Linked DNA regions of Mus musculus. The protein of the gene in region 1 purifies or fractionates together with the protein of each later gene. This does not show direct contact. Links are inferred from orthologs where the notes say so. Each region holds a gene or a part of one and is shown on either strand. Other genes may lie near its edges.

The links. Proteins that work in one complex are often made in the same cells at the same time.
Region 2: the proteins of Polr3b (region 1) and Polr2l purify together in Homo sapiens (affinity purification with mass spectrometry; 5 studies listed by BioGRID and IntAct, with this or other methods). This does not show direct contact. The link is inferred for Mus musculus from reciprocal best matches to the Homo sapiens genes POLR3B and POLR2L.

The regions. Positions count from the first base shown.
Region 1 is NC_000076.6:84,698,673-84,702,317, forward strand, and holds part of Polr3b (DNA-directed RNA polymerase III subunit RPC2), read left to right. Parts: intron 1-726; coding exon 727-869; intron 870-3,645. UniProt on the Homo sapiens protein: Catalytic core component of RNA polymerase III (Pol III), a DNA-dependent RNA polymerase which synthesizes small non-coding RNAs using the four ribonucleoside triphosphates as substrates.
Region 2 is NC_000073.6:141,472,303-141,476,444, reverse strand, and holds the start of Polr2l (DNA-directed RNA polymerases I, II, and III subunit RPABC5), read left to right. Parts: upstream 1-1,291; 5' UTR 1,292-1,322; coding exon 1,323-1,417; intron 1,418-3,040; coding exon 3,041-3,149; 3' UTR 3,150-4,142. UniProt on the Homo sapiens protein: DNA-dependent RNA polymerase catalyzes the transcription of DNA into RNA using the four ribonucleoside triphosphates as substrates.

The DNA of each region.
Region 1 (3,645 bases):
CTAGTCCAGTGGATAGTGTTTCTCTCATCCATGTGGTACCTCTCATGACACCGCAGACAGACCCTCCCCTTGATTTTACTATTAGCACTGCGTTACCATACCCCATCCCCTCCAGTCTAGTTTCCCACAGTCTCCCCTCTTGTGTGGCCTTGTCCTTGTACTGGCTAGTAATGCCTGCCCCTTTCCTGGATATGCTTCCCTACTCGGAGAAGCCTAACCCTCACTCTCTGGCTCTTTACTGATGTGCCCAGAAGGACATCTGCCTGTGGCTGACTCCATGTAAGACCTGAGCCAAACCGTCCAACTCTTGGGAGACTCCTCATGGTGTCTGTTGTATAAAAACTACGAAGCAAGGTGTTTTGAGGACAGCAATAATGTAGTAGGTTGAAGGGCTGTTGCAAAAGTGGTTACGCGCTCCAACCTGAATCTGATCAGCTCTCAAAACTCAGCTCTGCTCTGTGTGACTGTGTGGTCTCTCAGAGCATCGGTTAATGTTGTCTATAATACAGTGATAACCATAAAAATATTACACTATGTCTGCCTCGTAATAAATGTATAAGACTGTAGAAGGAAAATTGTAAAATTTAGATTTAATGTTGGAAATGAGTAACTTTTTAAAGCATGAGAGGAGAATATCAGAGTGTTTTGTGGTAGGATTGAAGAGCGTATGCCATACAGTGACAGCGTGACACAGGACAGTTAGAGGCTGTCTTGTCTTCACATCAGGTACAAAGGTGCGACAGACTCCTACATCGAGAAAGTGATGATCTCTTCCAACGCCGAGGATGCTTTCCTCATCAAGATGCTCCTGAGACAGACGCGGCGCCCAGAGATTGGAGACAAATTCAGCAGTCGCCATGGACAAAAGGGTGAGTGGAACTCCAAGTGTTGCAAGCTGTTTCTCAGATTCCCCTGTTAACATTCACGATTGAGGCCATGACGGTGGGTGTGGTTATCCAGTCATTCACTCATTTCATTTCCTCTGTGCCCAGAATTATACATCGCAGCACCATACCCTTCGAAGTGCATGGGACAAGAATAGTGATTCTTCTTAGGAAAGGCACGTGCTTGAACTATTCTGTGTTCTGTTGGGTCATAGAATCTCGGCGCTAGAAGGTACCTCAGAATTAAATATCCCTTCTTTAACAGATTTGATTACCCTCATTCACTTGCCTGATTATCTAGACGAACAGAATTTGACATGTTAGGAAAATGTCGGTATCCCTTACAAGAATTCACACCGTAAGAGAATGTCCCATTCTGTATGAACCTACACATGTCACATTACTGTCCTGGATAGTTCTATGCCAGCACAAGCTGCAGTCATCTGACAGGACGGGCCCTCAATTGAGGAGATGCCTCCATAAGATCCAGCAGTGAAGTATTTTCTCAGTTAGTGATTGAAATGTAAGCTCCCCTCTGCCCATTGAGGATGCTGCCATCCCTGGACTGGTTCTATAAGAAAGCAGGCTGAGCAAGCCAGTGAGCAGTACCCATCCGTGGCCTCTGCATCAGCTCCTGCCTCCAGGTTCCTGCCCTGTTTGAGTTCCTGTCCTGACTTCCATCAGTGACAAACAGTGATGTGAAAGCAGAAGCCAAATAAACCCTCTCCTCCCCAGCTTGCTTTTTGGTCATGATGTTCATCACAGCAATAGAAACCCCGGCTAAGCTACAGTCCAAGTCCATTTGCTACTGTGTGAAGACTTGGAGACTGATAAGCATGGCAAGCAGAGCTTATCTACTAGGTTCAGTCCCACTGAAGTTACAGAAACACGCCTTTCCAGTCTTACGTGTAGTGAAGCCTTTCTTAGAGCGGATGCTGAATCAGCTCATGGTAAGAGTGTCTGAGTGACCAGGGGAGGGTTGAGGCTCCCTGCAGTTCTCCATGGGTGGGCTGCCTTTGGATTTACCTGGAACACCCTGTGAGTCCACACACAGACAGACAGAGCACCGCTGTCCACATGAACCCTAGTCAGCAAGCGCCATTAGACCGGGGCCTCCGAGTGAAATGTCAGGAAGGCTTTGTGTTGTAGCATTTCCCAAACTGTCAACATGGCAGGGACCAGACTCCCTGGCAGAAGCGCCTTTGGCTCAGTTGTGTGTACAGTGGCCTTAGAGACCCCGTTGGTCTTCGGGCCTCTGACATACATGTTGCTCTGCAAGCTGAAGGGCGTCCTCCCAGGGTGGCTGACCTTTACTTCAGTGAGGACTTTGTCTTCCCAGTTTTCCTTTTCCAGATGCCTTTTAATCCGAGGTAAGACCTCCTGATTAGCCCCCACTCCCTTGACAGTCCTGTCTTATAGTCTTGTCAGATTTATTGAAAAGCCAGGAGGCAAAAAGGGAAGCAGCCAAACAGAAAAATAGGTGACAAAGACTTTAAGAGAGTAGTGAACAACTAGAGCCTTTGGGTGAATATAACTTTACATGCAAGCATGATTTTTATCAGGTAATAAATACACAGTATCTTGTTCCGTGTATTTGTGTTTATGTCTGTATATACAAGCACATCTCTGGCAGTCAGGGGACAGTTTTCAGGGGCCCTGTCCTTCCATCCTGTGCCTTCTGGAGTTCAGACTCAGGTCATCAGACTTGGCAGCCAGCACCTCTGCCTGCTGAGTCATCCCGCCGGCCCACGCACATGATCTGAAAGGTTGGTTTGAAGTGGAGGATTGGGCTGCTGAGATAGTTATGTGGTAGATGACGTCCCTCTGGAGTCCCTGAGCCTACAGCACTGCAAATAGAACAGGAGCCGTGCACTAAAAGGAGACTTGGTTCTCATTTCTCCTCCACCTGTGTCTCCCATAAGCAATCTCGCCCCGTTTATACCATCACCTTTCTAAGTATTCTTAGACATGCTCATTCATTTTACATGCTACTTACTGATTCACACTTAGGTGGATAGGTGGGTTCAGGAACTTACACCTCTCCTCACACCCTACCCACAGTACCCTGCATAAGACTGTTGTGATACTGGGTCATTTAGCTACATAGACAACATTTAATACAAAGTACATAGTCATTAGAGGATGGCTCCTCTGTATGTAAGTTTTTCTCAGTAATAGTTTCCTCTCATCTCTATTTGCTCTTCTGGGCATTACCTATTTGGCTTTATACTGTTCTTGCATACCATCAGCAGATACTTTGTACATCTTTCCTCGGGACCAGTGCTCTATTTAGGGACACACATCTCGCTTTTGGAGCCCCCTTCTTCCTGCTCCAGACTGTGGCATTCACCCTCGGAAGCAGAGCTTCTCAGCAGGATTAGAGCTCAGTGTCTGGTTTGGGAGACAGCTCCACTTATAAGGTACCTGCCGCACAAACAGTGGACCTGAGGTCAGAACCCCAAAACTCATGGGAGAAGAAAAAAAAAACAGAACAAAGCAGGCGTATTAGTGCGCATCATAGTCTCTACACTGAGGAGGGAGAGGAAGGACAAGAGGATCCCTGGGGCGTGCATCAACCAGTTTGACTAAATTGTGGGTTCTACCTTCAGTGAGAAACTCTGACTCAAAAAATATGAGATAAAAACTGAAGACAGCTAATGCTGAGCACACATTCTGGTGAGGTGTGGCTTTAAAATAGTGCTCATGATCCAGCAGAGGCAGAAACTGTCTTATGCCTAGTGCTATTTCTTGAGCCCTGAAC
Region 2 (4,142 bases), on another chromosome or scaffold:
AGCCTGATCCCAGGCCACAGTGACTCACAGGCCCCCACTGCCCCCTCTGGCCAGGGCAGGATGTTGGGGGGAGGGGACAGGACCGGGAAGTCGCCTAGCTCGTGGCTCTGCACGTGGCTCCATGGGGGATGGCAAAAGCTGCCAGGGAGGCTGTCCAGGGTGACATCGGGGGCACAACCACCAAGCTGGCCAGTGGCTCCGACCAGCCACACTCAAGACCCAGGAGACCCCTCCCGACCTCCCCTCCATCGTTTGTTTCCCAGAGGCACCTGGAAAATGTCTAGGACCCCCCAGAGCCTTCACTGTAACCAGATCTCAAACTTCCCAAGCTCTATCGAACTTCTCCAGCTTCTCACTGCAAGCTGCCTCGTTTTCCTAAGGGTAGCTCCCAACACACAAGAAGGCGGCCAAGGTGATACACTCCCCAGAAACCAGCTCCTTGCCCATTCCCTTAAGTCCTTAAGTCACGTCCAGGTGAGGCAGACCTGTGGCCACTAGCAGTCTCGCACGCAATCTCCGCGTCTGAGCCAAATATCCCGGGAAAAAGAGGTTAGAAGGTCTGTTCATAGGGTGCCTCCTCCATGACGCCTTCCCGGACCACCGCCCTGCTCCTCTCCCCAGGAAAAGACCCTTCTCAGAGGAGAGGACTGTACTGAGCGCGGGAGGCCGCCGTCGGGGCTCGGGACACCGTACCGCCGACGGTTCTGCAGCGGCCGAAGAGAAGGACGCCCCAAACTCCAAGGCCCGGACTCTGCCTGGGCACCTCGGGTAAGGGCTCCAGACCGAGACCCCTTGGAGTCCGGGCCAGGAGGCGGGAAGACCGCCTTGGCCGTGGACAGTCGGCAGCCCGCTCTCCGGCTGCGCCACCACCACTTGTTAACCACCTCTTGGCTCCAGTCGGCTTGCGATCCGGCCAGCGGGACCCCAGCCCGCTAGAACCGCCGTACCTGTGCGCGCCGCCGCACGGCGGAGCAGCTGTCAGTCAAGGCAACACGAGAAACGCGAACCGCCGGCCGCGGACCTTTCGGCCTTGCTCGGACGCCGTAGCGCCGGGATCTACCACCACAGCGGGAGGGGGGGGACCGGGATGCTGCCGCGGGCTCGGAGGCTCTCGGAGCCCCGGGTGGGCACGAGCAAGGAACACCGCCGCTTCAGGGTAATCATGGGAGCCGGGGCAGGGCTGCGGCGGGATTCAGGGAGATGCGGGGCGGGGCTCTGGATCTTACGGGGCGGAGCTAGGGCGTAATGAGCCCCGCGCTATGGGCGCGCCTGGGGCGGGCCTTGAAAAGCTACTGCCGGCAGCCTGCACGCCAGACGCCGCCATGATCATCCCGGTGCGCTGCTTCACCTGCGGGAAGATCGTCGGCAACAAATGGGAAGCCTACCTGGGTCTGCTGCAGGCCGAGTACACGGAGGGGTGAGACGGCGGGCCGCGGGGGATGGGACAGGACGGGAAGGCTGGACTGGGGGCATGAAGTCGAGGGGCAATGGGGAGGGTTCTGCGGCGGACCGGGAGTGAAATTGAGGTGTCCTGGGCCGGGGGTAGATAAGATTTCCTATGGAGAATTGGCAGGGCAGGGGTTGTGGGGTCTAGTGAGAAGACTGGATGTCCTCCAGCCCAGACCTGTGATGTATTCCCAGAAGAGTGAGTCTTTAGTTTGTTTTCGAGGCAGGATTTCGGTGGCTGACCTGAATTCTCTATGTAAAGCAGTCTGGTCTGAAACACTTCGAAATCCTGCCTGTCTCCTGGATGTTGGGATTAAAGGCGTGCAATATCACGCCCAGGCTCTCAGAAGTTTGGAAGGTGGTTTTCTTCAAGTTGCTGGCCTTTGGGAAACTTCTAAGCATCCTTCCCGTGGGTGACACCTCAAGTCTCTTCCCTGTCGACCTACTCTCTATCCTCTATCTGCTTTCCGACCTACCCCTTATGTACTTCGAACCTCGTGGGCCCTTTAAAATGCAGGACAGGCTTTGTGGGCATCGTCTTGTGCTCACTACTATGACTGTCCCCCAAAATAGACCTCTGGCCACCATGTCAACACCAAGGGGTTCTCTTTCTCTGCACAAGCCATAAGTCAGTGGGGCTTAATGAGCAGCTATTAGATCAGCTCTGATGAGTAGCTGCTAGCCTTCTGGGACCCTCTTTCACTTGGGCAGGAACCTCTCAAGCTGTCTAGGTCCCAGAGAAATTAAATCTAGTGTGAGTTCAAAGCCTGTGGGGTAGCAACAACCAGTTCATGGCGTTTAGTCAGAGTCCACCTGTGGGGCCTGGAATTGTACTCCTTGATGAGGGGATATTGGTCTCCTAAGCTTTCCCAAATAACCCTGGAAGCCCATAACCCTGGGTACAAGAGACAAACGCAGAGATACAGGGGGTTAGAGAGATGGCCCAACTGTTTTTTTTGTTGTTGTTTTGTTTTTCAAGACAGGGTTTCTCTGTGTAGCCCTGGCTGTCCTGAAACTCACTTTGTAGCTCAGGCCGGCCTCGAACTCAGAAATTCACCTGCCTCTGCCTCTACCTCCCAAGTGCTTGGGATTAAAGGTGTGCACCACCACACCCAGCTAGATGGCTCAACTGTTAAGAGCACTGGCTGTTTTGTGTGTTTGGTTGTTTGATTGTTTTTTAAGAGGACTCAGGTTCCGTTCCTTGAAGCAACATGGTATCTCGCAAGTGTCCGTAACTCCTTTGGGCTTTGGGAGCATCAGGCACCCATACACATAAAACGAAATTTTAAAAAACAGGTGTAGGCAGAAGGCTGTTAAGGATGGATACAGGATGCTATGGGAGAAGACTGGCACATGAGCAGGTGTAACTTCTAGGTGGGGAAAGGGTCACCTGGCTCCTCCCTGAGCATCTAGATACATATTTCAGAAATCTCCAGGCCATTTCCCTATGGCCTGGTGTCAGGTTTCAATCGCTGATTATGTAGATGTGCTCTGGTAACCCCTATCCACACGAATACCCAGAGGCAAGCTGGAGGTGGTTCCAAACCTATCCAGACTCTAGAGACCACATCCAGCCTCACTCTTCTCTTTACAGGGATGCCCTGGACGCTCTGGGCCTAAAGCGCTACTGCTGCCGCCGCATGCTGCTAGCACACGTGGACCTGATTGAGAAGCTGCTGAACTATGCACCCCTAGAGAAGTGACCGCTGGAGCCTGCCCTCCTCTGTCTCCTGCTGGCCACGGGCAGCCTGTCGTGCTATGTTCAAACTGAGCTATTGGGGATGTTGGTGTATTGCCTGGCTGTGGCCCTGTGGCTAAGTCCTGTTACCCTGGAAGGAACTGTTTAGTAAAGATGTTTGCAGAACCACCAACAGGTCTAACTTCCAAGGTGCTCCATGTCCATGTCTGTGCTGTCTCTGAGGCTACCTGGCCTGCCTCCAGTCTTTCCCCTAGGGCTGGTCTCCTTCCCCTTCATCTGACTGGGAGTCTCGTCCTGTGGAGGAGTACCCTGCTTCCGTTCCCCGGGGCCTTGACCACTTTGATCAACGAGGTAGCCCTACAGTAGTCTTGTACCACATTGCTTTAGGGCCTCTCCGCTTCCTGCCTGTGTTCAGGATGGGCATAATGGATGTGGGCACCACACCATCCACAGGTATGGATGGGCCCAAGCCTGGTGACAATATTCCTTTGGAATGCTGAGCGTGCTTGGAGGTCCCAATCCTTGTGCTAGGGTTATTATGCATTTGGGTATTTGGTCTGCTTATAAGTCTTTGTATCACTGTGTCCCCACAGAGGCCAGATCCCCTGAGAGTAAAGTTATAGAATGTATAAGCTGCCATCAGGTATTGGGAATCAAACCCAGATTTATTTACCTTTCATTTTCCAAGACAGGGTTTCTCTGTTTGGCCTTGACTATCCTGGAATTCAACTCTGCAGACCAGGCTGGCCTTGAACTAAAGAGATCAGTCTCTGCCTCCCGAGTGTTGAGTTTAAAGGACGGCTTGTGCCACCCAACCAAACCCAGATACTGTAGGAGTACGCCCAAGGCCACAGGCCTCACGAATTTCTTGGGTCCTAAAGCCCATCAGCTGTGTGAGCCTATCTGCTGCCCATGCCTGAGGATCTTGTTTCCAGAATCTTCCCAGGCCCGACAGCTAGGCAGCCCTGCCCCTTGACCCAATCCCCACAGCATGTAG